Linked DNA regions of Mytilus edulis. The protein of the gene in region 2 purifies or fractionates together with the protein of the main gene of each other region. This does not show direct contact. Links are inferred from orthologs where the notes say so. Each region holds a gene or a part of one and is shown on either strand. Other genes may lie near its edges.

Region 1 (8,382 bases), on a different chromosome or scaffold from region 2:
AAATTATCTGCCTACGGTCTTTCTTCTAAATCAGTGAAATTACTTCAAAATTATCTTACAGATCGTAGGCAACAAATCAAACTTCAGGGAGTACTCAGCAGTTGGGCTGACATCCAGAAAGGGGTACCCCAAGGCTCAATCCTGGGGCCCCTATTATTTAATATTTTTATAAACGACATATTTTATTTTATTGAACATGGTACCTTGTATAATTATGCAGATGACAATACTCTGTCTTATGCTGACAATGATTTTGATAATTTATTATGTACACTCGAAAGAGAAAGTGCTGTTTTAATTGACTGGTTCAGATTTAATTGTATGCAGGCAAATCCTGACAAATTCCAAGCCATTGCAGTTGGAAATAAAACATTTGCAAAAAAGCCTGTTTTTAATATACAGTCAGCAAAAATATCCTGTGATGAGATTGTCAAACTTTTGGGTATTGATATTGACTATCAACTTAATTTCAATCACCACATTAAAAATATTTGTCGTAAAGCATCCCAACAACTGAATGTTTTAAAGCGCATTGGCTGCTACCTTACTAAATTGAATAAACTGACAATTTTCCACACATTTATTTTATCTAATTTTAATTTTTGTCCTTTGGCATGGCATTTTTGCAACAAAAATAACACCACCAAATTGGAAAAAATTCAGGAAAGGGCTTAACGATTTATATATGAAGACTATGTTAGTTCATATGATGAACTACTTTTACGAGCAAAGGTTCCATCACTGAAAATAAGACGTATGCGTAACATGGCTATTGAGTGTTTTAAAATTTTATATAAATTGTCACAACCATGCTTACATGATTTAGTTGTTTTGAAAGACTGTAAATATAATTTTAGATATTCTAATATTGTAGATATACCTAGGGTCAGAACAACAACCTATGGTAAGAACTCTTTTAAATACACAGCTGCTGTTTTATGGAATGATCTACCTGATGATTTTAGAAAAATTGCTAATTTTAGTCAGTTCAAAAATATTTTAAAGTCATGGAATGGAAATGACTGTAAGTGCACAGTTTGTGCAGACTTTTAGTTTATATATTATGAAAATTTATTTACCATCTAGATCATATCCCATTTTTTTTTTTTTTTTTTTTTTTTATGCTAAGCATTTTTACCAGCTTTTATGCCTAGTTTACACTTATATGCTTTTAGCCTTAATACCTAGCTTATGCTTATATTCTGCTTTTAGTGCTTCATTTTTGTGCTGTGATATTTAATGCATGTGTACTATATTATAATGTATTATATTGTTATAAATGTTGTACTGTTAAATAATGTCTCATATGTCGGTTAAAAGCTCATTAGAGCTTATGTTTGTCTATGTTTTATATACCATGCCGACTCTAAATAAAGCTTATTTATTTATTTATTTATAACAAACCTCTATATGTTTGGCTTTAAGGACAATGCCATGAGCGCCTTCTCCTATCCTTCCCAATATTGTATACTGTTCCATTACCAATCTATAAAGATAACTAATATGTACCGAATGTTGAATGAACTTAAAACTAAAACCAAACTGTAATATGGTGCAGTCCGATGCAACTGCCCATCTAAGACTTATGACTTCTCTTAATTAAAAACTGATAAAACAAATAATCGGATAAAATCGTGAGAACAAATTCACAACATACTTTTATTTCATAAAATATTCTATATAAATACGGTTTTAACCTTAAAATTTTGTGTAATATGAATATAGAATAGAATAGAATAGAATATTTTTTATTACCAAATTAGGGCCCCAGGAGGGCATATGATACAGACAATATTATTATAAACAATAACATATGCAATACACACACAGTAAAAGATATGTAACAAGTGTTATAAAAATGATAAAATAAAATAATATAACACAGAAAATACACTCAACAAAATAGTAGCAATGTATTATTATTCAATGAATACTATGTGTATAAATATGTGTCCAAAATAAGGAAAACCCCTGTGGCAGTGGAATACAATTAAACCATTTTTTCTGTACAATTCTAACTGTTTGAATGATATTCAGTTTGGGTACAATATGCTTTTTATGTCGATTAATTTGTAAAAAATACTTTGTTGTTGTCAGGAAAGCATTTTTTTGGTCTAAATATGGTTTCTTTTGAAAAGAACGAAGACAAAGGGACATAACTAATATCTAAATTTGTTTAGTCCACGTTCGTCCCACACCATTTCGCCCCTTCGATGTTATCATAAAAAATATACACTTGGAACAAAGTTTTCTTCTTGTGATCAATACACCTATATTATAATTAGAAAACAGAATGGTGATATTGAAAAGAATTTTGTTAAAATGATATATAAATTGAATAAGTGATTAATTAAGTGGATAGATTACTATACTGCAGATCCAGATATACCAACCTAACATGTAGTCACTCAAGTTGTGCTACTCTCCTTGAGTAGTAATAAAACTGGAAATAAGAACTTCATATCCATAAAAAGTTTTTTAGTGTTCCGAATTTTTTTGGAACAATGATCAGTATTAGAACACTGAGGGCGGATCCAAAAGGGGGGGGGGGTCCGGGGTTTGAACCCCTTTTTTGGACGATCAATGCAGTTGAATGGGGACATTTGGCTGGAACACACACACCCCTTTATCCTGGGTTGGAACCTCCTTTTTAAAATGGCTGGATCCGCTTCTGATTAGATTGTTTCATGTCAAGTTCATCATGTGATAGAATCATGCGAAAAAAAACTGACTGTGTGCTTGTACCATCCATTTGTGTTAAGCAGTTCATAAAACAACATATACTCTAAATCTTTATCATTGTACAGAGCTACTGTGATAGAAAGAAATGCGATGAGAATTGTGAATCTGATACTGGAAATGTCAAACTGATAAAATAGGGTTTAAAACAAAATTTGAAAAATCTTTTACAACCGTAAATTTTGTCATCATTAATTTATTAAATACAGGCTTGCTTTTTCCAATTAAGAACCGGCAATACGAAGGCTCGTGCAGCCACACGATGGATTAAGTGTAAAGACGCCACAAACAGTCTGGGAAATATGTGACAATTGCATCAAATATGCATACATAATATCACGAAAATGTAAAACCACAAGTTATTATGCATACCAAGATCTTACTGCGGTGATAAATTGATCATAATTTATTCTTTAATAATGGGTTTATTCAGAGGTGCAACGAGTTTACACGGATAGTGTCTAAGTTGATAGGCTTTTAAACAACATTACTGTCAAAATTAGGATGTAATATCTGGTTAGAATTGAATCTTTGAATATATGAAAGAATACATTAAAAGTTCTAAGTAATATATGATAACGTACTCCCTATCTCTTTAACAAATGCTTTTTTCCCATTGAAGAATCTGATTTTATAACATCAGTTGTAGATCAGCACTATTGCATCTACCTACACCCAACTAAATTATAAAGATAATCGAAGATGTGGTACTACGCCAATGAGACAACTCTCCACAAGAGACCAATGACACAGGCGCTAACAACTAAGCTATTATGACGTTACGTTACCATTCGATATCGGCGTATCTCGAAAATGGAGTGAAAAGGATCTTCTTGTGTTATAATGACAACTGTATCCTTAATAGAATACAATCCAGACAATGGACCCCTCCATTCACCATCAACTTCAACTAAAGGGTTAGACAAGACAAAAGTTGCTAAGGTAGATATGAATGTTTTATTCAAAGAATATCTAAAAAGATATTAACGAAGCCAAATTACATTCGATTGTATAAACGCTCTTCAAAGATGATTAATGTTACCAAAGAAGATCGTGAAGTAAGTAATTCATCACGTGTTGAACTTAGACAATTGTTTTCTGTGAAAACTTAAAAGTAATATAGGTTTTAACAAATGTATCTTTTACGTTAACTTTGATTTTGGTAGTTCAACACTGCTTTTTGTTCTCGCCGCGACATTGGGCACTGACGCAGCTTACAACCAGTCCATTATGATCCACTATCCACCAATGATTAATAACAAAAACAACTATAAAGCCTAGCGCCCCCCCCCCCCCCCCCCCCAAGAAAAACCCCATACGAATTTACAACTGGATAGGTGTATAATAAGAATAAGCCACACAAAACAAAAATGTATTATAAAACTCCAACGTCGACGTACCAGATGACCTATCTCGAACTCCTTTGTATGTATAGCTCCTGTCATTTATTTGTTTTTACTCCCCCTTTTAGATAGGTAGTTTGACAGCGGGCAACCGAAGCAGGGAAGGCAGCTGTGATGTCAAGGAAATACAAGGGCTATCCCTTTTAAATACAGAGCTGACACACACACTTAAAAGTCGAACTGGAATACGTAGAAAACCGAGAGAGGTACGTGCAATATCTAAAGAAAAGAATGTGTTATAATAATCCGTGGTATTGTATCTCACTCGAATGATGTGGACAACTTTAATCTAGTGCGTAATCACCATTAGGTACTGTTGAAACCAAAATTTTAAAATGAAACACTTAGAAGAAGAAGAAAAAAAAAACAATTAGATAATCAACCACATATTGCTTATAGCTTCTAAGAAAACTCTGACAGTTGAAGATTTCACTTTAAAAAAAAAATCAATCTTTACTAAAATTCACAACATGACAACATCATGTGTATAGTGCCGGTTTGATAATTTGCAAATTTTTAGTAATTTTCGCAAACATGAATAAAAAAAAATCTCAAACAAAAACCCAAATTCCATTGAGAGAAAACTTTTGCCAGCCGCTATGTTGTTCTTAGTTCAAAAACATATTCAGTTTAATGTTTGACAAGGTTTTGTTCCAATATTGTAACAAAACCGTCTTCGACAACGATGTAAAGCGATGAAAAGCATTTTCTTTTTATGAAAATTTGTACAATCTATAATTTGTATTGTTGCGACTTTTCTATACACATTCCAGGTTTTACCTTTTTTTTAATTTGGAGTCTGCGATTGACAGAAATTCAGTGGAAACTGGACCTACCTCTTTCTTATAGTTATATGAGTTGTAATACTAGTTATTTTATATGTCCTTTTTCTTAGTTCATTAATGATAAATATCAGGTATACCTATACCAGATATGCCGCCACTGAGTGGTGTTGATACATTGATTTGTTGCAAAGAGAATGGAAAAAGAAATTACCAATTAATTTCATGAATATAAAAACACAAAGCAGACCTACATAATATTCATTTTTTATGTTAAGATTGATCTTCTTCCACAAAGACCATCAACTACCCAGTATTATCAGCACACGTTTTATGATCCTGCATGCGCCAAAGATGATATACAAACAGGACCACTGAGTGTCAATGGAGAAAAACTGGACGCTCTATCCAACCTGCAGTTCCGTCTGGTAATATTTCAAAAATGCAATTACATAAGAAATTGTCAAAAATGTATATAAAAAACGTCTAGATATATATATTAGTCAACGATCCATCCTTCTTACGAGGACGTTGGGTCGTTTGTACATAATCTAACTGATATGTACGCCTAATAGTATACAAAACATCATAAACATGATGATTATTGAACTCTATGAATCAGATATAACAATCTGAAATATAGAATTGCACCTCTTCAGGAAAAGTTGACCTCAGGCAAGTTATGCAAATTGTGTACATCTTTGACCGTAAGTTTTCTAACTTTTGGCTTTGAATGTTTAAAGTGGGTCGACTTGTATCCCCGAAAATGACACGAGTAGCTTTGATTGTATTTGCTTAACCATACTGTTTGAACACAACTAAGAACACTGTATGTGAAAAAAAATCATAATTAAATTCTACCTGCACATGCAGGAACATTTGCTTCTGAGAGATAATGGTCATCATGGGGTCATACTTTGTACATCTAGCAATAGATGGCCCCGACATGACAAAATGTAAACAATTAAAAAATGAAAAACCTTTTGTTAATGGTATTAACTCTTAAAAAATGAATTACAGTAATTGCATTTCTACATTCTTTGTTGATTTTTATTGCAGCCAAGTACGCCACTAGTACATAGACGGCAGTATTACATCAGCCAATCATTTAGCAGTACAACTTGTAGTGAATGCAGCCAATGTGGTGGAAGATCGTCTCCCGATAACCCACCGTCATCTCCCATTCGAGAAACGTCTTATTTGAAGTTGGATGGTAAAAAAATGTCATGTCCTGATTTCAGATCTAAATCTGAGGTAAATATTTTTAATGTTATCTGCGTTCCAGCTAAAACATAGATTCAAAGATCGTTGACAAAAGATTAAAAACACAAATATCAGAAATGTCACTGAGAATTTCAAAATCTTACATGCTTGACTTTTATTTAATAGAAATATAAGAATCATGTAAAATATCATGAATTGTTGGCGTTTAAAGCCACTTTCAGTGATATTGGCTATATCGTGGCAATTAGTTTTTATTGGTAGGGAGGTTGGAGAGAACCAACGACCTTCTGCATGAAACTTGAACTGAAAATCCTGATCAATTAAGGTTGATGTCAAACACTGCTAAGACCACTCTCATACCGATTGAGGCCTCCCTAAAAAGATAAAGTTTCATTTTATATTACAAAATATCGAAACATAAGGAATATCTTCATCATATTAGCCAAAACAAAACTTCAATAGAAATCTTCTGGAGCGTCTAGCTGGTATCATTTGAGAGCATTTTTATTGTGTAAACTTTAGACGCCTTACCGTTCATCGTCGGTCTTCTGTTTCTAGTAATTTGTCTTGTTCGCGTATTTTCCTCTTATTTGTAAATATGTATTTCACTTTTTCCTCACTAGGTTTGTTATGTTCTATATAATACTAAAATATGAATATAAGGGCAGTTAAATAACGATAGAAAAATAGTCTTAATAATTATCCAGTATAAGTACATGTAGTAATAAAGTGTAGATACAGGTAGAATGTGAAGTCTATATTTCGCTTCAAGTGGTAAGCTAGCGTTAAACTAAGAAACTTCAGTCTTTAAAAACTTCTTTAACTAATGCTTACGTCATACATTTCATTCTGGTATCAAGCCTATGTTATCAAAATACTACATTTTCGTAGAAGTTCAGTTTAGAATTCATAACGAGGGTGCAAATTAATATTTGAAAAGAAATATTTCTTTCTATTATCGGCAATGTGAAAAATATTCACTTCACGCATTATTAATAAAAAATATCCACGTACAAATTAATCTAGCTTCGTAGGTGCCGGTGGCCATGAACTAGCGTCACCACAAAATGCATGTCACCGGTTGTTTGACTTTGTAGTTGAAAGATTTCAAACCCGGATTATTAAAGAAAACGTCGTATTGCTGTGTCAAGTGTGAGGGTAGAATGATAAGCCACGACACGTTGATGATGGAATCGGAAAGTCCTTTCCAGTCTTATTTCCGCCAGCCAGCAACTTATGCAGAAACCCTGCCATATGACAACATACAACCACTACACCCAGACAAGAGCTTGGAAACTTGTGAAGAACTGATTATTGACCAGCCTCTAGAAGACAGTTTTCTAAAAGACGATATGTTTACTTTACCAGAATTACCACACCCTATAGCCAATGTAGAAGTAATATCTAGGGATGTATTAGAACGCTGTAAAGGCGGTCAAAGATCAAGGCTCAGCCCGAGATACCTTCATCACAATCAAAATAGAATGAGGTCTGATGAAAATGAAGAACTGTCAAGTTCAACTTGCATTATATCCAAACAGATATTCCACAGTTCTAACAAAACAGGTATTTCACAGTTCTAACAAAAGAGGTATCTTTTACATTCAGGTAGACGTTCAAATTAATGTACAACTATCTGTTTATCTTTTAAACAAATTTATTGTCATATCTTTGTATGCTTTAAAGATAAAGATACACAGCGACATAAACATAAAAAAACCAACTGAAGCTGTCAAATTCAGAGAAAATTGTTTTCAATTTAAAGGCGTTTACTTTTAAGGTTGTTTGACCTGCCACGTTCTTTGTGTATTTTCCAATATATCAAGGACCATATAAATTTAACCTCATTTTGCCATTAGAAACAAACACTAAAACCACATAAATAAAGGCAACAGTAGTATACCGCTGTTCAAAAATCATAAATCGATAGAGAAAACACTTCAGGGTTACAAACTAAAACCGAGGGAAACACATCAACTATAAGAGAAAGACAACGGAACAGAAAAAACTGAAGAGAAACAAAAATCAAACGCCAACATACAGCGAAACGGACTATTTGATAACAACTGCCATAAGTGGCATTTTCCAAACTAAGTCTTCCTAGGACCATAATCATAAAAAGACACAAAAAGCTATTTCAAAATCAACCCCTGCACGGTAAAAGTGAAAATCATCAATATCAAACTTGATTTCCATTTTTTCATCTTCAACATCATATTAACTAGAGGCTCTAA
Region 2 (8,373 bases):
TTACTCTCTGCCCAGGGGTGACCATCTAGGGGGTCGTGTTCCTGGACAGGTGATGAGGGCATGATAGGTGTATGAAGTCCACTGTTATGATTAATATCCATATGTTCTCCGGGGTTCAGATCATCGCCCCACCAATCAGGAGGAGATATGTGAGCACCATTAATTGTCAGATCTAAGGGATCATTTGTTGTGTAGTCCACTGCTATGTCGGGTGAGAGATCAGCTTGTGAAAATAAATCCTCAATACTAAAATTGTCAGAACTACATTCGGATGATGGCGGACTCATAGGATCTGATGGCACTGAATTTGAGTCTGGGCCGTCAAGTAAGTCCTCGGTTTTAATTTTAATTCCCGCTATTTCAATGTCTTGATGTAATATTGAGGTCCAGTTGAAGTCACCTTTTAATGATTCATGTTCGTCATTATTGAAATGAACAACACTTTCATTTCTCAATGACTTTCCGTGACACATCGGTAAATAATCGTCTTCAGGTTCTTTCTTGATCTTCTTTAATGGAGGAGCAGAACATGACCCCTCTCGACTATTTCTCCTTTTCTTGAACACGCCATTGTCAATCATATCATGATAATCAGGATTAATTCTCCAGAATCCACCTTTGCCTGGCTCGTCTTTCCTTCTTGGCACTTTCTGGAAACATTTGTTCAGTGATAGATTATGTCTGATGGAGTTCTGAAAAAAAAAGATCAATAATTTAAGTATTGATATCAACTTTATAAACCTATGGTAGTGTAATTTAAACAAATCATTCATCATTGCTAGTTCTGTTGTTATTTTATTTATATCTTATCAATAATGCTATTAATTAAATCAATTACTCCCCATCATTTCTATTATATAATAATCCTTTAAACACCAGTATGTTAGCACCCTATAATCATGATAATATGATAAATGAGATGTATACAGAAAATAATCAATGTATTGTGAAGGTCATTTTGTTTTCCCTGTTTATCTTATTAAAGTTGACATAATATATGTGTACCAAATCTCATTGCATATCAGTAATTTAGACCATTGCATATTGTGTAGTTTTTTTCCATTTAATAAAATTCTATGTATTCAATTTGGTTATAAGTTTACTATGTCGACAGTACAGCAATAATGATTTAACACAACAGTACAGCAATAATAGTATTACACACACACAGATTACCTGACAAGTTTATATGAAATATTGATTAAACTTCGGGGCTATTCAAAGTATATGATGAAATTTAAATAAAGATTGGTATGTAGGTATAATTTCACAATATGGTCATTAAGTATTGGTAAAGTAAATTTATGACCAAGCTTTCACTATAACCAATTAAATATATTATTATATAAGATAAATCAGTACAATGTTAATATCAAGTCAGTAATTTCTATTAAATTGATTATAAAATGTATAAATTTACAATAGATGGTTTCAGACGAGAATAATTTTAGTCTAGTTTATGAAGATAAACCTATTTAGAACCTCAATTTCAATATATACAACTGTTAAGTCTTTTTTTTTTTTAAAGAATTTGTACATTAATTTTGTATAAGAAGAAAGCCTACAACCTATTTCTGAAGATGTCAACAAGTGAACAAAATGTGTCCAAAATAAAATAAAATACTAACCTGCCAGCTAGGATCTGCTAATCTGTAGTACATAAAGTTTTCTGTAATCCAATTGTAGATGGAGGACAATGTGATTTTACTTTTCTTGGTCTCCTTCATTGCCATACAGATTAGAGTGGCATACGAGTATGGTGGCTTCACATATGGATTGGTCTTATAGTCTATTGATTCACCGTTCAAACTTGTAGGTGGTGTGTCTCCAAGCTGAAACTTTTGCTCCATTTTACACTGAGGAGGAGAGCAAGAAACGTTCAATATAGCATTAGGATTCACTTTCATGTTCTTGTTGATTTCATTATTTGCATAATTTCCAAAGGGTACCGGACTTGGAGGTGGTGTTGGTGATGTGATTTTCATGATGTTTAGATTCTGTAGCCAGTTTAAACTGGTGAGACTGTCATCTAGGTTTGATCCACCATTGCTGCAGGTGTCAAGGGGATACTTAGCCATCCAGTTTTGCCTAAATTTGACGGCTAAATTCTCCCTTGTTAGAACTGGCATCTTCCCAGTCCTATTCTGCTGGTGGAGAGCGTAGGCCTGTGGGTACTTCGTCTTGGCGGTTAAGTTTGATCAATTCTAGAAGAAAAATTCCAACCTGAAAAATTAATACAATCTATTCAATTTCATTTCATATTAATAAATTGCAAGTACTATCAATGTTTATAGATATCAAAATAAAATCTATCTAAATAAAAACATTTTTTTAATGAATGTTAAAATGAAATTCCCCATTTCTATACTTGACCTTAATGTTAATATCATTGGTAAAAAAGGACAAATCTTCTCTTCTCCATGTTACAGATAAATTTAAAAAATAAAAAATGATAATACTAAAACTAAAGTAGTAAATTTGACAATTCTGATCGAAATTATTATCGGGCTTTTTAGTATATTTATAAAGGACATGTAAAACAACAATGCATGATTTAAAATAAAATCATGAATATAAAAAAAAAATGCATTCTGCAAATGTCAAAATAAAGTAATCATTAAAAGCAATAATATAAATAATAATATAAATAAATATCTTAAATGTTATTGCACACAATAAAAAAATGAAATACCTTGAGCTCCTCTAAACTTGTTTGACTTTCAATATAGTTTAAAATAATGCACAGCTATCCAGGGACTTTATTTATTTCCAAAGCTAAACGTGTTTAATCAGAGTAAAATGTGATCAAACTTGCTCTACAAAAAGGCGTCAATACGTGTTGTCCCTTTAAATCCGTTAGATTGATTTGATTATCATTGGACTGTGAAGGACTATTTATAGTATCATTGACACGTGTATTTACCTCAGAACAAACAAAATAAATTGTCAAAAACATATATGATTGAGAAAACAATGTCGAAATAAATCACTCTTTCATATTTGATTACGACAGATTGGTTTAATCAAACTTACCTTGACGGGAAATAAAAACAACTAAAATGTGTTCACTTAATTCCTAATTAGTTTTCGATAAGCCCAGGCGTGTTCATCAACGACCGCGTTAATTAAATCAACAAATTTCTTGATTAACTGCAAGCTCAAGCTTTTATTGCTTTACGGCCTTTCAGTTTTCAAATTCATTTTGATGATATTTAAAAGAAGTTGTCGATTTAGAAGACTTTTTAAGAATGAAAGCATTAACCGGGCATTGAGAAAATAAATAAAATTAGTGTGGCAACAATGTAAACCTTAGTAAACAGTCTCTTTATAATTTGCAAGTTGTTGACATTCCGCTATGGCAGCAGATAAACAATGGGGCCAAACTATGTAAAAGACGTTTAATTTGATTGGACTGCAATACACATCACAAGTTATCGATAAAGCTATTGGCTGCGTTATTGGTTGAAAGGTCATAATCGGAATACACATTCATTCATCTAAATATTATGGTTCCAATACACGTTGCCGGTAAACTTTCAAACATAAATAAATCTAAATGGTTTGCACTAATTCTGAAACAAACAATGGGAGCTGTTTGTTTTCTAATAGACACGCAGCCAAATGTGGTTAATATATATTTTTTAATTTGTTGATCTTTGTTCGTTGGATTTTTTCGGGGTGGGGGGGGAATTTATTTTAATGAATTTAATGCAGGACTGTGCTGGGGACAAAACATGATATACATATATAGTTTTGTCCAGGCATGTATAATTTATTGACGAACAGAATTATTCAGCAAATAGAGGGAAACGCAAATGGAATAGTGCTATCCAGTATGTGAACGACCATATATCTTTAACAAAAAAAAAGGGGGGGCGGGTACGGTTTTCCCAACAAAAAATATATTATGATCCCCAATTTGACGAAAAAAATATACTGGACAAGCAGATGACAAAAAAATTGTGAATGCAGATTTCCTCTACACCTAATCGTACCTTGTACAGTATAATAATTTGATTGATATCGTCGAAAAACTTCAAGTAATATTTTTTTCGCGCTGTGCGGCATGATTCTACCAACCACACATATCAAACAAAAAAGTTCGAACATAGCTGAACCTGTAGGGTGAAAAATTGTTAAAAACTGTTATAGCTTTAGATTTCCATGTTCAATAATCATATTCATTTGTATGTCTAATGTGAGCAAAATTGGATACTGAGAAAAAGAAACCGAATTCAATGATATAAAGAGTGGGAAAAAATATTTAAATTATCTAGATATCGGACAATTTTTTTCTTTCATGTTAATCTTTTTACGTGACTGAATTAATTTTGACTTGTTTTGAAAATGACACCAATTATACGACAAATTCAATTTTAAAGAATGTGTTTTCATAACTGACGTCATTTGGTGTCATTTCATTTAAATAAGATTTCGATGATTTAAAATGTTGTAATAAATAATGAAAACCCATTTGTCTTCTTTAACAGTTATTAAAACACGGACAGATTAAAAGTTAAACAAACAAATAAATCGTCAAAGGAATTGTCAATGGCATATACGTACGAAGTCAAACATAAGTCTTGGATATAAAACGGCTAAGACTGTGTTTTTAATTTGTGCTTTTTCTTTCTTTTTTATGTGACTTGAAATGCGAACAGGTAGATTGGGAGGGAAACCGCAGTGCTCCCAAAAAAATTGACAAGCATTGAAAATTGCTCATAAGACATAAACCGTAGTACCCCTACACGTCCCTTGTACTCAATCATAAATCATAAATTTGCGACATTTTAAGCAGTAACATGCATAACTTCCATACTGTAATCTATACAGTTGCTTAATAAAAAAAATGATACCACAAATTATTCTATACTAAACGAGTATGACGACAGAAGGGTTAAAAGCTAATCCCAATAGTATATCCCTTTTTGATACTTTATTGGGAATAATATATATGAATTCACATTAGTTCTTGTACAAGTTCTAGGCAAGTATCCTTATACAAACTTATATTAGTTCGTGTACAAGTTGTAGACAATAGTTCCTAAACTTGTACCGATTCTGAAACTTATTATTCATGTATGCAGTAACACTCCCTTGACGAAGTTTATCCTATTATACTTTTATACGGAATTTAAGCCGATCCAAACTTTTAAATTAAAATTTCGTAGGCGTGTAATATCTTCCACAATACTTGTTTCACCATTTTCATAATATGGGCATTTTAAGAAGAAAAGAATGCTTTTAGGTTCACGACATACATAACAATAACAATACGATAGATAGGTAATATACAGTGAAGAAAATATTGATTTGTTAGCTTGGAAATTTTAATTTCATGAAATCTACTTGGAACTATATTTTTTTTTATATTGGAATTTAAAAAAAAGGCGTTTCTATAGAAATACACAACTTTAAGATATATTATATATACGTCCTTGCTTTCAGTAGCAAAGCTCGGCATGAACATGCATTCGGTTGTTTTGTACTCTTTGGTTGGGTTGTTAACAATTGTCTCTTTGACACATTCCCCATTTCCATTCTCAATTTTATATAACGGTTTCCCATTGGACGATAAGCAACATACAGCCAACCAATCAATCAATCAGTACCAAACTTCCAAGAAGCTTTAATATACGGTAAGGCTAAATTACTGCTCATGTATGCATTATTGTCATCTGTTATCTCAATATTATTGACTTTAAAGTGTTTAACTTAATTCGAGCTGGTGTTTATTGTGCGTTGCCTTTCTCTGTGTCTGCACTGTTTAACTGATCCGAGTTGGAGAGTGAAAGGATTGAGAATATACACTTTTAATCCATCATTTTCTACATTAGAGAATGCCTGTACCAAGTCAGGAATATGACAGTTGTTATCCATTGGTTTGATGTGTTTGGACTTTGATTTTGCCTTTTGATTTTTGATTTTCCTTTTTGAATTTTCCTCGGAGTTCAGTATTTTTGTGTTTTTACTTTTTTTTTTTTTTTAATAGGAACTTTAATTTTTTTGTATTTTATAACTTATAATTAACCTTTTTTACCATTTCAGACAAATTACGTGTGAAAAAATGGTCAACAACAAATATTCAACAACAGACAAGTATCTATATAATAGTCTATGAAAAGTTGTGAACAATAACAGAGAATGTTAAAAAAACTGCCATAAAAAATTAAGTCACTTAAAACATGGTCAAACATTTGATATTTGACCAACATGCTACCGACGATGTTCCAAAATTGGGACAGCCACATGAACATGTGTGTGGGTTCTGATTTTTTATTATATACAACACACTCCCCCTTTTCAGTCTCAGTGACCCCGGGACATAAACGAATCATGCACTAATGACAAGTTGTTTCGGAGTCAATAAAATTGAGAATGGAAATGGGGAATGTGTCAAAGAGACAACAACCCGACCAAATAAAAAACAACAGCAGAGGGTCACCAACAGGTCTTCAATGTAGCGAGAAATTCCTGCACCCGGAGGCGTCCCTCAGCTGGCCCCTAAACAAATATATACTAGTCCAGTGATAATGAACGCCATACTAATTTCCAAATTGTACACAAGAAACTAAAATTAAAATAATACAAGACTAACAAAGGCCAGAGGCTCCTGACTTGGGACAGGCGCAAAAATGCGGCGGGGTTAAACATGTTTGTGAGATCTCAACCCTCCCCCTATACCTCTAACCAATGTAGTAAAGTAAACGCATATCAATCAATGCAGACAAAGATGTATATTTTTCTTTCCAGTTGCATTAGAATGCCGATAAGGATATTTTATTTGAAATTTTGCGAGCCTTTAAATTTAGTTTCGTGATAGCAAATATCTGTGTACCGACTACGCTGACGAATTTGCTTGTATATTTAAAAACAAACTTTTGAAATTACAAAAAATAAAATACCCCAAACACAGACACACACTAATAGAAATTCACAATCCCGTAAGAATAACCATTTACACATCCTTGCTACAGAAAAATGGAATGTTTTACTTGTTTTAACACGAAAAGGCTCCGGGAAACTAATTATTGTCTGAAGAATAATGGCAAAAACCGTAACTGTATTTCTATTGTGTACATTAATAATTAGCCATTGGAATCCATTGATTAAAGTTATATCATCTATACAAATATAAATAATTATTTGATAACGGGGACACATTAATTATTCGTATACCCTGTGGCACACTATTCTATTCGGTCCCAGGTTCAAAGAAAATAAATAATTACCACCAATACATGGGAAAATTTGTATTTTCAACATTTCATGTATTAAAGTAATTTTTAGCTTTTTGATTATTTTTATTTAATCTTATGTAAGGTAATTTCAATATTACTTCTAAAGGTCAATCAAAGGCAACCGAGTTCAATCCTTGTTGGGTGTTTTTTTGGAAAAAAATTTAAATATAAGATTCAAGTTTTAAAAAAAATACTACGCCAAAGCAAGAGAGCTGTAGGAAAAAATCTAAGAGATAGCCAACCCAGTCGTAAGTCAAATACAAATGAAAAACGTAAAATGGTAAAAAGACAATCAGCAGTTTACAAGACACAACATAAAGAAACTGGACAAAAAAAAAACAAATAAAAAAACCCGGATGTAACCTTAGGTGCTCCCAAAGGAAACACATATCCTGCTTCACATTATGGATTTGCTCATGTAAGTACAAACCCGTTGATCAATATATTTCGGTATGTCACATTCAAGGAAAACAAGACGGGTTCAGGATACAACAATTGGAATATGTCCGTGGTTATGGCGTAACTATATAAATATTCTCTCCAACCGTTTAAAAGTCACAAATGATAAATTTTCAGCAAAAAGATGTAAAAACATCACCTATTTTTAGTTGGATAATTTGACTAGAAAATGCAAAGTTTTCCAACTCCAGACAAAAGAAAAAAATGAAGGCTAAATTTGTATTTATCTGTTGAAATCGTTAATTTGAGGTAAAGTGGAACTCGTCTTGTTCTTGAGTTTCTCCACTATCCAGTTTGAATCTTGAGCTCAGTAACGAAAAGAACACAGTTATGAAACAAGTACAGTAAAAAAACATAATTCTAAATTAATTTAAGGGTGTATTGATACAACACCAAAAGACGCTGACTTGTTGAAACAATTACACTAGTGTACGCTTCTCTATGGAAAGTCTTCTTTTTCCAACCATATAAAAATATATCTAAAAAAAAAGAAGATGTGGTATGATTGCCTATGAGACAACTCTCCAAAAATGACACAGAAATTAACTGAACTACAGGTCACCGTACGACCGTCAACAATGGGCAAAACTTATACCGCATAGTCGGCTATAACAGACCCCGGAATGACAATGTAAAACAATCCAAACAAGAAAACTAACGTCCTTATTTACGT
Region 3 (8,414 bases), on a different chromosome or scaffold from region 2:
CTTAAATAATTAAAAACGTATGTCAGTATCTATTTTTGTTCACACAAAGGATTTAAATGAAAAGGGTCCAACAATTAGTTCTCACCAATTCAAAGCATAGAACGACCCTGCAATTAAAGTTTTTTGCTAAAAGGTATTGCTATGAAATATATTTTATATTTTCCAAGACAAATGGATTGATTAACCACTTTACTCATTCAATGAACAGCTAGTGAAAATTACATATACCCTGGGTACAGCTAGTATATCTATATATTGTTCCTGATATAACCCAGAAAGAAAGATGATAAAAATATCACGAACAAGCTAAAATAATACCTTTTTTTCAAATAAGGCCGATCTTTCAATAAAATCGAAAACGGTCGAAGATGATAATAAATCACTCCTGTGGTTCAAAATTTGCTGATTCATCAAAAGAGATGAAAACAATGATAGTTACCATGCATATAATTAACACTAGCTTACCTTCAACCTCAATTAATAACGTTTCATTTTGCCACAAGAACTTATTCATAATACTACGATAAACGTTCATATCTGAAGAAAAAAAATAGAATGTTATTCAGAATACATTGTTTTTGTCAGGTCCAGAGGCTTCACGATTTAAAAAAAATCACATTTCAAAAAATCCAGGGAATGGAACTTTTCTTTCATAAAAGTAAATAAAATAATTCATCAGCCCCAGAGATATGACATTCATCATCGACCGTCGGCTGGTGATTATATCATATATCTGGGGATGATAAATCATGTATTTCATAAAGCTGGCGTGATACTTGATTTTAGAAACAGTATGGTTTCAAAATTGTTAATAATTGTATTCGTTATAAAAAAAAACACCCCTTGAATTAACGGTTATTTAAAGAAAGTTACCTTGAATGGTGTTGACTTGTGGGTTGGGACTTGTGGTTGATTGGATACACGGTATTTTTGTTTCGAATCGGGAACTTTCTACACTAACGTATAAAAAGTCCCTGTTCGAATGTACCCGATGAAAGTCAATCCAGAAATACACGTAAAAACAGTGTCATAAAAAAAATGTCATATATCTGCATTTAGTGTTCCTTATATATAAACTCTTTCGTTTAATCATCATAACTTGTGCAATACGTGACTGTATTTTAAAAAATGATTTGATGTATAATATTGAATTAATTACATTTGTATAAAAAAGTATCGCCTCAATCGACACTTCGGGGAGCGTGCTTTATATTACAGCATGTAGATCAAGAGATATAAGGTAATTATTTTACTATCACACCTTGTTTCATGTTTCTTGTCAGCAGGACGTTCCTTTGCATCCAAAAGAACAGAAAGAAGAGAAGCAATAAACAGAATAACTGTAGTTTGCTGAAGTCAGCCAGGTACTGTGTACAGGATGGTTGTGAAACAGAATACAGGAAAGAGAAAGAAAAGAAATAAAAAAAGAAATTGAGTTACAACAACAGAGAAAACAAAAAATGTATTAACGAATTCAAATAGCACTAGTAGAAGAAAAATAAAAAAATAACGAGCTAATATATAAGATAGATAAAACCAAAACAATGATGACAAAACATAAGTTAAACAGGTGACTCTGTGACCATAAATATCAGTCGACCATTGATGATGGAAGCTAGTATGTCAATAGGATAGAATGCGAATAATGGATCATTTTAAAAACATAAAACATACAAGTTAAGATAATTATTGAAGAAGTTTGCTTACATTTTCCGACAAGGAAATAAAGGCGAGTATACAATTTGATGTGTTCTCTACAGCTGGTAGGACTAAGTTGTTGTACGTATATGTTGTGATATCTGTTGTCTGTTGTAACATTGGATGAACTAGATCATCTATATAATGATTCATCATGTTTGTAATCTGATTATTGTAGTCAATGGCTGAATTGTAGTAAAACTTTGCCTGGTCCAATGGGTAATCATTGGGTTTGATATAAGTGTCTGGTAACACGTCAAAATAGTTCCTAGTGCACTCAGCTATATTCTGCTGTGTTGAAATGGTAACCTCTGTGAAACTGGTGAGACATTGAGTTAATATGTGCTCTGAAATGAACTGTTGGGATGAAACTACTACTCCTAGTAACTTTTCTAAATAATTAGTTTGGTATCCAGTAATCATGTTCATAAGGTCAAACATTCTGAAAAATAATAATTAATTCATTATGTACGTGGTTTTTCTTGCTTTTCTTTACTGTTTACATATGGATGTTTTAGTTCGTGTGCAGCAAAATGTCTTCCGCAAGTTAGATAAACAAATATAGAAGTAGCACTCCAATTAAATCCAATATGTAATGCTTCTAGACAAAGCATTGATGATGTACGTGGCACAACAACTTACCCAAGTTCTCATCAATACACTTTTGCAGTAGTTATATGGGAAGGAAAATCATGTTCTATCATTGGAATATGATTTGTTGTACATGTAGTGTTTTTTTATATTACGAAGCTAGTCTAGATATGTTCAAAGAAAATTTGGTGAACAATAAAGACTATAAATATTATTCAGTATGGTTACAGAAGCAAAAAGTAAAATCACAAAAATACTGAACTCCGAGGAAAATTCACAAAACGGAAAGTCCCTAATCAAATGACAAAATCAAAGGATAAAACACATCAAACGTCGAATGGACAACAACTGTCATATTCCTGACTTGGTACAGGCATTTTCAAATGTAGAAAATGGTGGATTGAACCTGGTTTTATAGCGCTAAACATCTCACGTTTATGACAGTCGCGTCAAATTCCGTTATTTTTACGCGATGCGTCAACAAAACAGACATAATCGGTAAAATAGTCAAAATATAGTTACAGCAGTCATCACTGTGTCACAATCTCAAGACAAGCAACGAACTTAATCGCGACAACATACCAACAGCACAATAAGACAAATACCAATCAAAGATAAAATACTATATCTAACGGTCATCGGTTGGTTAGTCCACAAACAGCGATGATAATATCAACAGTATGAAACTCTGTGTTCTCTTAAAATACTCACCAAATTATATAAATTTACCCTTTTTGTAGAACTCATTTATGGAGAAGACAAAACGATTTCGATGATGAACAATTTTCTTATCTTGTAAATCAATTACAAAATACGACAATATAAAAAAGAAGAAGCGTTATTATTGCCAATGAGACAACTTTAGATCTCCACAAGAGACCAAAATGGCACAGAAAGCTACTGGTGATCGTATGAACAATGAACACAGCCCATACCGCATAGTCAGCTAAAACCCCCAAAAATTTCCAGGCCCGAAAGTCGGTTTGCAGATAAAATGGCTACATTGTTTCATACCAAACGAAACGTACAAACAGTATTCCTGAATCCTACGATTCTCACTCAATATTTTCAATAACATACAGTTTTGTTGATTTTGTGGTAAATTAAAACTATTAAGAAGATGGGGTATGCTCACGGACTTGAAGAAACATCGTTATGAACGACAATTAATTTTAGGTTTGAAACATTTATTCAAACAAAGTATTACGGCAAGAAACTCGGTAAGTAAAGGCTTATCAGCATGAAAATTCTCCTTAACTTAACTCTTAAAAAAATCTATATTTTAAGACCATTATCACGAAACTAATTACAACTTACATGTAGAGGTTTCTATCAGAAATGGTCGAAATTGCTGTTTTTGGGTTTTTTTTTATCTCTCGCTCGGAACTTTTGTACGTCTGATCTATCTAGGAAGATATGACTATCTGCAGCAACTTCTCCAACGTAACTAAGGCAAGAGAATGAGACGTAATAATTAACGTCAATGACGTTCCATGATTAGATTGTGGGTTTTAATTCTCGCTACTCTTCTGTGGTATTGTTTTACATTAAATAGATAGATGCGGATATAACGGGAATATTTGAAAAAATATTATGCATGTTACGGTTTATTAAGTTTGAACTTACTTTAATCTCTTAAATTTGCAAGACTCGATATTGACAATCCATAACAGTTCTGATGTTAATGATACGTCGATTAACTTGACTTATATCTGTAACTAAATTCACTTCATTAATTGGTTCAATGGCAAATATCTAAAAAAAAATCATATTCTCAAAAAAAAAAAAAGCATCATACTGGGTTATAATACCGTCAAACTTATCACTCGGCTATCACAAAAATCGTTGAATAGTTGTTAGTTAACATGGAAATAGGAAATAACACTTGAGTTGTATATTTAGATTTTAAAAGAAAGCCTTTTTTCAACGACCATGCATTTAAATTAATAGGTAATTGGTGTTCGATAAGATTTTGTGGAAAAAAAGTAAAATCACAAAAATACTAAACTTAGAGGGAAATCAATTCGGAAAGTCCATAATCATATGGCAAAATCAAATAACAAAACGCATCAAAAACGAATGGACAAGAACCATGAGAACTGTCATATTCCTGACTTGGTACAGGCATTTTCAAATGTAGAAAATGGTGGATTAATTAAACCTGGTTTTATAGCGCTAACCCTTTCTATTTGATGACAGTCTCATCAAATTCCGTTATATTTAGTGTAGCTATAGTGTTGAGAGTTGAAAATTCAAAATTATCAACCGAAATAGAATGACCAGATCAAAAGGCATAGATACTTGGAGGCAGGACATTTTATTCTTGCCGTCCCCCTTTTTTCAAAATCTGTTATTATTGTTTGTTTGATGAAAAAAAATGGGGAGGGCAACCAAAAGATTTTCCTATCCCAAGTACGTATGTCAAAAGCACGTAATTTATCTACCCGTCATATACACTCCAAACATATTTTAATAATTCAACTTTTTTTATGTTGTTTTTACATTACAAATTATGACCTATTGCATGTACAATAAATATTAACATACATGATCGTGAAAAAAAGTTACATTGTAAAATATTATACTTTTATCTAACACTGATAAAAATCATATTATAACGTTATAATTTCCCCTCTCAGATCCCCTGATGCTGATTGACAACCAAATTTCTATAAAATAAATTTTCATTGGTCAAAAGTGTGCTATTAACCAATCAGCGCTGTCCTTTGAAAAGAAGTTTAGGAACATTTTCAATATGGCGGAAATAGTAAACAATATTTATTTTCCATTTAAAATTGACAATTTTATACTTATCAGACTGTTTTAATATGCATCAACTGATTGATTATTTTTACACTCACTTGCAAAGTAGTATTAGGATTTTGTTAGCAGGGAAAAACTTCTCATTAGTCTATTACTAGCTGTCTCATGAACCACCATGACCATGTTATGCCTTAGCACATTAGTACCCTTTGGCTTTGCATGCATGTTCATAAAATGGACCTCATACACATTAACTGATAAAAAGACCGAACCTTATCCCCTTGAAAATGTCTTATGAGAGGGGGTATGAGGGGTCCTGATCCTTAAAATCATGAAATCCTGAGGTCCTAAATTTAAATAAATTTAAATCCTGTCATCCTGAAATTCGAAAAGAGAATTACTGGATCCCGAAAGGGTCAATCCAGAAATCCTGAGCTTAAAAACACCCGATCCCGTAGTCCGGATTAAGGTCCTTCCCCCTTCATGAAGCACAAGTAGAATATATAACTAAAACAAACAATTTAATCAGTCATGTCAGTAGGTCTTTTAGATAAAAATATTTTATTTCCTAATCATAGGGCTCATAACAAGCATGTAATCACATAAACAGATAAAGTAAAAATAAAAAGCCTTTCTTTCCCACTCGCATACACTCACACATACAACTATCGTTCTGATTAAGGATGATTGATCTAACAGTACAACATGTAAATGAAAAATAAAATACATGTACAGACACAAATGTATTTTTATTTTTTATTTATGAGGAGAGTCAGTTGCCTACATTGTATCTTTTCACCACCGAACACTAAAAAACACCCCAATTTGTTTTTTGTCTTCTATTGTTATAAATGTGACCTAAATATCATATTTAAGTTATTAACAAGTCATAAGATTAAAAGACCAAATATCTACATTGAACAGAAAAGTAGTCTATAAGACCACTCTGTAAACTGTCAAGGACAACTCACAATTTTTTCCCCCTATTTCCAAGGCTGATCACTACCTTTTTGGTACACAAAATATAGTGCATTGATCATAACATTCTATAAATTCTACCCATGAACATTTCCAGAAGAGTATCGATGTAATATATGCTCAGATATTCAAGGCACAAAATGATGTTACACATGACAAGAAATTTACATAACTTTTGCAAGGTGCAGGAATCTAATATCTGTTTTAGAAATATGAATGATGTCATGCATTGTTAAAGTCATCATTTGTCCAGACTGTTAAATCCACTACACCCAATGCTTTATAAAATGCAATATTCATCTTTACTTCCCCCTGATAAATTGAAGTAATCTTTACCATTCAGTGCTTACATGCACTTTATTTAATATTACTGTTTTTCTTTGTGGTTGGTGGTATTTTGAGTGTTCAGTGGTAAGACCCACCCCAATTTAATACCAAGATTTATTGAGCCAATAATATTAAGTAAAACAAACATATCCTCATCTCATGGGTTTTCGTGTATATATATTGAAGTCATAATTTCCATTACAAAGTATGCATAGTATCTATTCTAAATATTCAATTGACATACTCAAACATATATATGATCTGACCATTCATGTTCATTTGAACATTCTGTTCCTTTAGAAAAGATAAAAATCTAGTGTATCAAATATTTAATGAATAAAAATTTTAGACAACATTATTTGTTTACAAAAAATAGGACTTTCCTCTCTTGGTACATCACATATTTTTCATATTACTGCTCTATCATTTAAATTGATCAATATAAATTATTGAAACTCTTATTCAATAAATATATTATTTGTTTTTCCAGAGTAGACACAGTATTTAGATAATGTCGTGGAAAGGTTTGGAGGGTGAAGATTTGGTCCAGAATCTGAGACAACTGGTCATTAGTTTCGAACCTCAGATAAGAGAAGCTGGGACTGTTGACCAATCAGAAGAAGCTTTGTATCATCTAGAGGAAAATGATGAACATTTCCATAGGTCAGATATGATTTTTGTAATTTCTAAAACATTGATCATGTTGACTTTTGTACCATCATTTACTTTATTAACATACACTAATGGCAATGGTGGCAGAAAGTGGGTGGTTATACCTGATCCTTATTGTAAAACTTTTGTGATCTATCTTTACACATCAGCAAAATATTTCATGAAACATTTTTTTTTGTATAATTCTTGTACAAAATACTCCCAGCTAGAGTATTAAATCTTATATTTTCTCTTCAATAGAGCAAGACGTAATACCTGTTTTACATTTTCTATATGAATATATACAAATTATTCAACATTGTTGTTTTTAACAGTGTGTTATATATACCAGATACAAATGTTTATAAATTTCATAAATAAGTGTAAGATGGATTCATTTGATATAATCAAGGCTGATTATACATGTAATATAAAGCAAAATATTTCTGGTCTCTTATAATTTCTTTGTGTTAGCATTTTTTACAACAAACTCCAGGAAAAAATGTACTATATAATACTCCCAATAAAAATAAGTTTACAATTAATTTCAATGAAACCATGGAATACATACAGAATATTGGTAATGTTATTTGTATATAAAAAAGAATTAAATAGAAATTGGTTAGAATAAAGGCAAAATCATACATTTACTGTGAATTTTTTAAGTTCTTAAACCTATGTCATGAAAAAATTGCAGTTATTTTTGTTATATTGGAAACAGTAAAAACATTATGAATGTACTTTTTTTTATTATTAATTAACTTTTTATACATTTCACTTAATTTTATTTGGTTTTGAGAAGAAATATATTTTCTAAATAGAGATATGGTGCATCAGTTTTGATCTTGTAATTTATTTTACAGGCATGAATTTGTGAAAGTGTTAAGAAGAAAAATAGAAGACATTATTGGTCCATTGGCAGAAGAAGAGATAGAAAGATTCGAGTCTAGTATACATGATTCCAATGGACAAGAGACACTCATCAACAAAATTACAGATAAAATACTTCACTCAAGACAGTATGTAATAAACTCAATAGTCTGACACAAACAAAGAAATTTGAAATATTAAATTTTTTATGAGAAGGTTTGATGTTGCTATTAATGAAAACTGACCCCTCTTTTGGTCATCAACAAATTTAACCCCCTTTTATGACTTTGAATTCAACTTAATCTTTACTATAATTGTATTCTGTACAAATTTTTAAGGATTTGATATCATATTTTTAGCTGTTTTAGATGCATGTGTATAGCTTTAAGTTGATGAGAGGTTAAGTAACAATATATTGGTAAAAAAAAAAAAAAAAAGAGAATAAAAATACAAAAACAAAAAACAAAACAATATGTTTGTACCAAAGCTGTCATGAAGTAATTAAATTTTACAAATAGGTGAAGTTGCCCTTTTAT
Region 4 (7,994 bases), on a different chromosome or scaffold from region 2:
GTGACTACAAAATTCTATGTTTTAACAGAAAAGTCTGCTGTAAGTGCATTTTCAAATTTCAAGTTTATATTCATAATACACAGAATGAATGCATATAAATTCTTTTGTATAAACTACCTTTCAAATATGGAGCTACAGAACGAGAAGATGATTTTCTTCGTTTAGACATCTGTGCATCTTTCTGGTCTCCTGCTTCACCATTTTCTGATGAGTCCAAACTTCTTTTTCTGAGGTTATATCTGATTCTTCCAGGTTTAATGTCATTTTCCTCGCCACTGCTATTACTGTTAGATCTGTCTCTGCCTCCTTCTGGAAAAAAGAAATCATAAATACCCTTAATATTTTTCAAAAGAAATGAAATTCAGTTTATTAGTAAGTCAGTCTTATTAAAACCAACCCCCACTATCCACTTGCGTTTGTAAGTGGATAGTGGGGCTGGTTTTAATCAGACTGTAATTAAGTAATCTAATATATGAATATGTCATTTTATACTAATATTATATCATATATAATGCTAAAAAAAACATATACGTATGATCACATAAAGTTTACTGACCCGGTCAATACTATCAATTCTAGTTAAAAATTGAATGATGCAATGATGGTGGAAATATTTTTATCTATGGGATAACAGACAAGTAGATTTAATATCAAGATTCCCTACAGCTGACAGGTGTCAATTAATTAATTTAATGACAATAACAACTACATCTAATAAATGTTGAAATAACAAGAAAATAGTTTTTAAAAAAAAAGTTTGTTTTAATATTAAATTAACTCAGTTACTCCTGACTATTCAATAACATGATTATATAATTATGATACAACTCTTCCCTAATTTATGAAGGTCTGAAAAATCTATAAGCATATGAATGCCTTTTCATTGCCATATATTCATGCAAGCATGACCACTTCAGGATTTAGGTGTTGTTTTGATGTGAAAGTGTCAGAACTTACAAGGCCGAGAGCTTTTTAGCTGCACAACAGAATTAGTGCTGGAGACTAAATAGCAATAAATCTTTCACCATCATCATAATTAAGCCTAAGACTAACAACCAGAAAGCTTAACAATCAGAACATGTGTTGAAGTTGCAAAAAACTCTGCTACAGACCAGGGCTTCCAAAAAATATTTGAGCCAGCCGGACATTTTATATCTGATCCCGATTTTAATCCCTTAAGACTTAGTCACAAAAGGCAATTATGGTAATCAGATGGCCATTCCAATGATTGACATTACATTAAAATAACGATTTTAAACTTTACTTTGATATGAATTTGATGTTCGGATGTAAACTGTTAAATTGGCAGTGCATCATTCAAAGTGTGCACATCAGCGTGCTCATACATTTGTATCTGCCTTAGACTCTTTATTTGTGAAAAGAAAAAACTTTACTTTCGTTTTAAAATCACATTTTTCTAACCGGATGTTGACTTGACAATTGTAAAACATGGACCATAAACGGATACGGAAAATCCATGTACGTTTACAAAGCACAACTGAGTGAAGAAGCTATTTCCACGTTATTAATTCAACAAAATACTTGAAATGAACGTTATATACAGGTATAAATGATAATTTTAGCATTTTTGAAGAAATGTAGGATGCATAATTAAATTTCCTACCTGTGCACATCCGCACACATGTTCTAGTTCATACAACGTAGTTCTGACGATTTTTCATTTAAAACCTTTTTTAATTTTTCATCAAATCATGTTGATAAACTAATTTCTTATAATTTTAATCTTTTGGACTAAATCAATTAGATACAAACCGCTGAAATGTAAGAAAATAATTGTGAATAGACTGATCAATTTATACGATGTCCGGTACTGAAAATAGTTCACCTGTCACCTGAACAGGTAGATTTCAGCTGTCCAACTACTAATTAGCCTTGATTAAAATTAGAAAGTATTGAAGTGGAGGTTGTTTTGATAGTAATTAATCATTATGTCACTTTTATGACCGGAAATGTGTTGATGTTAAAGGCAAAAGGTTGGGTCAAAAAGGACGTGAATTATGTTAAAATGACCAAAAAAGCCTTGAAAACTAAAAAGTATATGACCGTTTCATGCTTTGCCCAGTCGGACTTTTACCGGACATTATACAAATGACCGGAATATACGACCGTTTTGGAAGCCCTGCTACAGACATAAAAAAAATAGAACTGTTATGATGTTCTTTTGGTACTGAGGATGCAATATAAAAGGATTGATCACAATGATTGTGATGAGAATGGTACAGTGTTTCTTATTGTGCCATGTGTCACTTCGGGGGCCTTGGTAGGTCAAAGTTGTTCCCAGCTTAACCTGGAGATCAATCCTCTGAAATCTCTTCGGGTTGTCTGTTCCCGCTGGGAAGCCCAGTGGTTCCCTCTGAGTACATCGGCTTCCTTCACAATATTAACAGACTTCCCGGTGTCCTACACGCTCTCTTGGGCGGTGATGGGGGTGGGGATTGTTCTGGTGGTGGGTTAATATTGTAAAGGACACATCTCCATTAATCCTTAGGGAGTGAACATGGATCCACTGTACCCTTGCATTCAATTGAGGGGTGCGTCTACACTGGCGGAATCTCGAAGTACATACATATTGCTTATAACCCTTGCTGGTAGAGTTGTAACTTTTGTATATTAGTAAAATCATGCTCTTTATTTACTAAAAGAAATGGTGTATGAACGCCTATCAATTTTTGAATTACACATGCTATATACTATTTCTAGACATCCTCTCTACTATTTTGAGTTCTTGGCTTGCTGTCAAATTGATGTACATGCCCTACATTATCATACATATCACCCTTAATCATATGTAAACAGTAAGATTTCAGCTTCAATGTCTATCAATTTATTAATTGGGGTTCAAATTTGACATGTACCATTTGGTAATATTGAACATGAACATAAAAAAGTTATCAAACTATAAAGACCAAAAGTTTTACGAAAATAGATAATCAACATAATCACAACTATACATGACAAAAAACATATAATTGATAGTTGTAGATAGCTTTATGTGTGTAGCTATTTTAAGCAAGCACCTCACAAAATCTCTCATTTTATTTGAACTATATATAATTTGAAATAAAGTTTAATTTATTATGCAGACTTGCTGACTGCAAAGAACGACTAAAAATACATTTTTTATAAAACAGACAATGACCCCTCGCAAACTCACCTTCGTTATTCCTTCTTGTTGATGACTGTTTCACGTTGGAACGATTTTTTGTATTCCTAGTACTATATCTAGTCGTTCGCGTGTTTTGACTAGACATATTTACAGAAATAACACGCCTTTCCCTGATTTTTTCATGAATAAACACTCCGGGTTACATTAGGTAGCCATCTTGAAAATTATTCCCATTTGAGTGGCTGTTAATTTTGTCGCATCACGTGACAATTTCTCGCCAATAATTGTTCTACTTCCGGGTAAACAACCCCAGGTGCACTTTTGCTTGGCACGACTGAACATGACAGCACCACTACAATATTTACCAAAAAATGTCCTGTAGTCTGGATTTTAATCTGAAGGAATATGGGTATCATAATTTCCCAAGATCGCTGACGAAGCAAGATAAACAACTTTTGTCTTCAGTAATGTCTAATGACTTAAAAATGTGTAAATTTGCAAAACAAACACTTTTAAAGGGGCACTAGCTACGATATATATAAAAAAATAAAGTATGATTTTTTTTAGATCAATCATTAATCAAATTGGAATAATGAAATAATAATTTGCTTTTAGCAATCAATTTCCTTTAATTTTGTTGAAATAAGCCATTAAACATAATTTTTGACTGATTCACTTGCAAGTGAAAACGTCATCATCATTCTAACCGGTATTCATGTGAACTTCAAGTTAACCCCTAGCTAGAGATTGACAACGCATGCATTGTACGTGTACTGGTTATTTAAAGAAAAAGAATGTCAACAATGAAAGTGAAACTACGGTAAATCATTTGATTACTAATTCGATGCACATAAAATCATTCTTATATGGTTAAAAACAATGAGAAACATCTATTTTTAATCTATAAAATAAAATCAAACAGACCTTTAAAAATGCAATTGCACGTGTTGGTTTAATCTATTCGTATCTTTATTTTTGTTTACATCGCTTATATGGTCATCTGAGGTCAAATCGATAGTTAATTAGATGGCGTCTGGACTAAAATACACACGAAACGAACCTATATATTATCTCCCCCATGCTCTGTAAACTGTTTATTTTAGACTTTTGATAGTTTGGATAAATGTTTTACATTGTTATAAACCAAATATGAGAATTTGAGTCAAATCGGTTACAATGAATTTGACAGCTAGTGCCCCTTTAAACAGTTGCAGTCTAAATAATTTATTGAAATACAGGCATAAGACAGAGCAAAATATCAATGCTAGAAAACTAACCATTGTCTACAAGCATGTTTTTTTGTCATGTTCAGGCCTTTTAAAGCTGTCTTAAGGTAACAGGTACGTAAATTGCTTGTCCGGCGATTTTTAAAAGAAATTGTATGTAAACACGTAGAACTTATAAAAAGAAAATGAAAAATCGAAAAAATTAAGTTTGTCACCGATCTAATTTCCGAGTTCCAGAAATTTGAAAATTGTTAGGAAACAACATAAAGTATATAGACATAACGTCAAATTCAAACCAAAAATAAGAAATTTCAAACTTTAGTTATTCTGGAGTTTAAACCAATCCTACGATTTTTCTATAAAAATCAAATGTTTTTAAGGTATTATTTTTCTTTCTTTTGATATATAATTTTCAAGGGGTTTCCGAACTCCCTTTTTATATATCAGCCGTTGAAAGTGTGTTGCTGACGGGAAAAGAGGGGAAAAAATCATGACGTCGCCGAAGGAATTACGCAACGTCAAGGCTATATCAGCAGAATTGTAAGGACAACGACTGCTTCATTATAATTTGTTTGGCTATTCGAATGCGCAATTAAGCATATTATCCTGTTTGAAAAAAGAATTGATTGCCTATTTTTGATTTTCAGTTATTATACGAGAACCTATGTATTTATAACGTCATGATTTCTGGAATGATTAAACACAGTGTCAAGTGACACTTTAAAAGATTTACAAATGTTTATAAATATATATAACAGAAACAATAAAAGATCTGTCCTTAAAATAGATTCTCCGAATGACGATATACATTCAATGTTCACATTTCCGACCACAATTTTGCTGCTTCAGAATAAGGGAGGCGAAATATACCACGCAACAGGAATTTCAAACCTATAAGCCGAAATCATACTGACAATGCCATGGGAAAAAACCCCGGAAAACGGCCAAAAGACAAACAATAGTAAATAAATGGGGAAATGCGTCCATGGGACACAGACGATGCCCCCGCTTGCATATAAAGTTCTAAAGTGACGTAACTAAAAACATTAAAGTGACGCTACCCAAATTTGTACTTGATCTTAGTTTAATTGTTATAAGCATTGTGCATATGTTTATTTACATTTGGTTGAGGCAAACTAATCTTAGAGAACGGAAACGAAAAATGTAGCAATTTTTCAATTTATTATTGGGCATAACCCTAGAACGGTAAAAGTGACGCCACCAAAATTTAAACTAGATCTGTGTTTTGTGGTAATTAGCATAGTTTATAAGATTCCTAACATTTGGTTGAGGCAAACTATAGTTAGAGAACAGAAACCAATTTTGGGACGGACGGACGGAAAGACGGAGAAGTGTAAAACTTACAGCCCCCTCCACTACGGCGGGTGCATAAAAAAAAACACAACAGTAAACTTTTATTCCCCCGATAGTTGCAGGAGGTCATGCATATAAAATATATAAATGTATGTTTCTATGGCACGAGAACAACACAAACATGAACACATACTTCGATCCAAATAGTACTGGTCATTTGCAAACTTAAATGGTGTGTTTAATATGACACGAAAGGAGATGTGGGAAAAATGTAAATTATAGGCAAAAGTTAAACAAAAAGAATATTTCAAAGTTTGATGTATATTATCCCTAATTTTTTTTCCTATCGTTGGATTTGTTCCATTATTATAGTGAGGACAGTGCATATATGTGAATATTTAAAAACAAATGTATATAAATTCCAACTTATTCATCTTTTGGTTGTTTGTTACTCAGCTTCGCCGCGGTAGACAATGTTTTCTCGGGGTACAAATCTGCTCTATCCAGAACTCAGCTATGTGTTATTTATAAATTGTTCAACACGGACTTTGAACACACATTATAGGACGTTCTGATAAATGTATCAAGTCTGTTTTTTGTTAGCTGTAATGATTAAGCTAATTATGTACTGAATAGAAAAGCTGCATGTGATTTTGAAGAACCGTCTTCGAGGGAGTTTTAACGTATTAATTATGCTGCTTTTACATTTAATGTAATTGTGAACTAGGCATTAGATGTTGCAGCGATTGGAAATAGCCAACGGCATTACGTACTTCGTAATTTATGCCAACAATATTCCTGTTCGTAGAATTGTTTGCAAAGTTTTATTTATTGCGAAAATTGAGAAGAAATACGTAACGCAAAAATGAAAACTCTAATTAAAAAAAATTACAGCAGCATTTGCACATGTACATTTGTACATGTATACAAATAGTATCAACTGAAATCGATATAACCGTAGTTCCGAAATTTTGCGCATTTTAAAATGAATTGATTGATGCACCCAGAAATTTCTAAATTTTCAATATTATATATGTACATGTACTTTGCTATTTATTTTATTTTTGAAGTGGCGGTTATCATGAAAGAATACTTTTCATGCAACGGATCTCTATTTTACCCTTGCCGCTTTTTCACGTTGGAAGCTCACAATGTTCCATTCAATTCAAATTGAATGAAAAGCAAGGTGTAACATTTATTTTAAATTTTTGTTCATTTTAAAAAACAGTTTTACTTCCCGTTTGTCCGTGCATAAGTCACACAGGCAGCAATTAAACTCTTTTGCTTCAATATTTTTTTACTATAAATTATTTGTTTTAAAATAGTACTAGTACTTTCATTTTCAAACTCTATTTATAGACCATGTCGCGGACGTGAAAGAAAGCACTGTAAAGAAAGCCGGGTTTATGTTTATATTTAAATAAGAAAATGGTTATAGAACAGGAATATCAAATCATGAATATCAGTATTAACCTTATTTTTTTCGAGGATTGAATACGTCCTAGCCGCTTTCACTGTGACAGTTGTTTTGGGAAATTTTGTTTCTTTGAATGCAAATGACTGAATGTAAGTCTGTGACTATATTTGCTTTGGAATTTCAATATATAAAATGACAATATATAGTGTAAGCTTTAATTTGTTAAATAATAATGTGGGAGTGTATGTGTGTAATGCATGTACGAGTTTATGATATTCTTATCAATGCTTCATTTCGTTTTCACGTCCCATATCAACATTCCCGATCTTCAAGTCACTCTGATCTGTGCCGATTACCAGCGTATAAACATATGTGCAGTTACCCCAACGTATAAACAAATTACTTCCGAGACCGATTTCTTGTACTTTAAACAGTTTTGTAGAATTATTATGGTGAATAGAAATTCTTGCAAGCATTTATGTTGGTCAGCTAGTTAACCCAACTCAATCACTCTCAGACTCCGACCATCACGACATGACAAGTTACTGTCATTTTCATGGGAGGGAAGCACTGTTTAACTGTTACAAGATATTTCATTTTACATACTTCAATTTTTGTTACATTTTGGTGAGATGCATTCAATTCTCTTCCACCAAACTGACCATTATTCCGACGAAGCGGAATATATTCCGACATCTTGAATATATATTTTCTGGTGTACGGGAGATAACTCCCATAGCAACAAACGTCGATTTTCCCGTTTTCCGCTAGAGGCGTTCATTTACGTACCTCTCACCTTAACTTTATTAAGAATGGGTTTTGGTTTGACTATATTTTTGAAGGCCTTACTATAATGGTTCCCTACGACTACGCAACAATCACTTTTCCATTGTGGCGTCAGATATTTTGT

What was found. The genes of interacting proteins can lie anywhere in the genome.
Region 1: the proteins of forkhead box protein J1-B-like (region 2) and cyclin-dependent kinase 20-like purify together in Homo sapiens (affinity purification with mass spectrometry; 3 studies listed by BioGRID and IntAct, counting the BioPlex papers as one, with this or other methods). This does not show direct contact. The link is inferred for Mytilus edulis from reciprocal best matches to the Homo sapiens genes FOXJ1 and CDK20.
Region 3: the proteins of forkhead box protein J1-B-like (region 2) and protein broad-minded-like purify together in Homo sapiens (affinity purification with mass spectrometry; 3 studies listed by BioGRID and IntAct, counting the BioPlex papers as one, with this or other methods). This does not show direct contact. The link is inferred for Mytilus edulis from reciprocal best matches to the Homo sapiens genes FOXJ1 and TBC1D32.
Region 4: the proteins of forkhead box protein J1-B-like (region 2) and F-box only protein 11-like purify together in Homo sapiens (affinity purification with mass spectrometry; 3 studies listed by BioGRID and IntAct, counting the BioPlex papers as one, with this or other methods). This does not show direct contact. The link is inferred for Mytilus edulis from reciprocal best matches to the Homo sapiens genes FOXJ1 and FBXO11.

The regions. Positions count from the first base shown.
Region 1 is NC_092344.1:102,311,015-102,319,396, forward strand, and holds the start of cyclin-dependent kinase 20-like, read right to left. Parts: upstream 3,422-8,382; 5' UTR 3,324-3,421; intron 2,156-3,323; exon of another isoform or gene 2,084-2,155; intron 1,719-2,083; exon of another isoform or gene 1,698-1,718; intron 1,499-1,697; exon of another isoform or gene 1,487-1,498; 5' UTR 1,480-1,486; coding exon 1,405-1,479; intron 1-1,404. Other genes in the region: uncharacterized protein, read left to right, coding at 3,583-3,681, 4,211-4,348, 5,203-5,352, 5,984-6,178, 7,246-7,714. UniProt on the Homo sapiens protein: Required for high-level Shh responses in the developing neural tube.
Region 2 is NC_092352.1:1,713,778-1,722,150, forward strand, and holds the start of forkhead box protein J1-B-like, read right to left. Parts: upstream 3,397-8,373; 5' UTR 3,309-3,396; exon of another isoform or gene 3,034-3,308; intron 2,869-3,033; exon of another isoform or gene 2,693-2,868; intron 2,224-2,692; 5' UTR 2,130-2,223; coding exon 1,629-2,129; intron 693-1,628; coding exon 1-692. UniProt on the Homo sapiens protein: Transcription factor specifically required for the formation of motile cilia. Acts by activating transcription of genes that mediate assembly of motile cilia, such as CFAP157.
Region 3 is NC_092348.1:15,689,676-15,698,089, forward strand, and holds the start of protein broad-minded-like, read left to right. Parts: upstream 1-4,993; 5' UTR 4,994-5,056; intron 5,057-6,847; 5' UTR 6,848-6,868; coding exon 6,869-7,020; intron 7,021-7,871; coding exon 7,872-8,027; intron 8,028-8,414. Other genes in the region: uncharacterized protein, read right to left, coding at 466-537, 1,262-1,367, 1,708-2,139.
Region 4 is NC_092346.1:84,490,321-84,498,314, forward strand, and holds the start of F-box only protein 11-like, read right to left. Parts: upstream 3,422-7,994; 5' UTR 3,273-3,421; coding exon 3,176-3,272; intron 310-3,175; coding exon 118-309; intron 1-117. Other genes in the region: EF-hand calcium-binding domain-containing protein 11-like, read left to right, coding at 3,499-3,591. UniProt on the Homo sapiens protein: Substrate recognition component of a SCF (SKP1-CUL1-F-box protein) E3 ubiquitin-protein ligase complex which mediates the ubiquitination and subsequent proteasomal degradation of target proteins, such as DTL/CDT2, BCL6, SNAI1 and PRDM1/BLIMP1.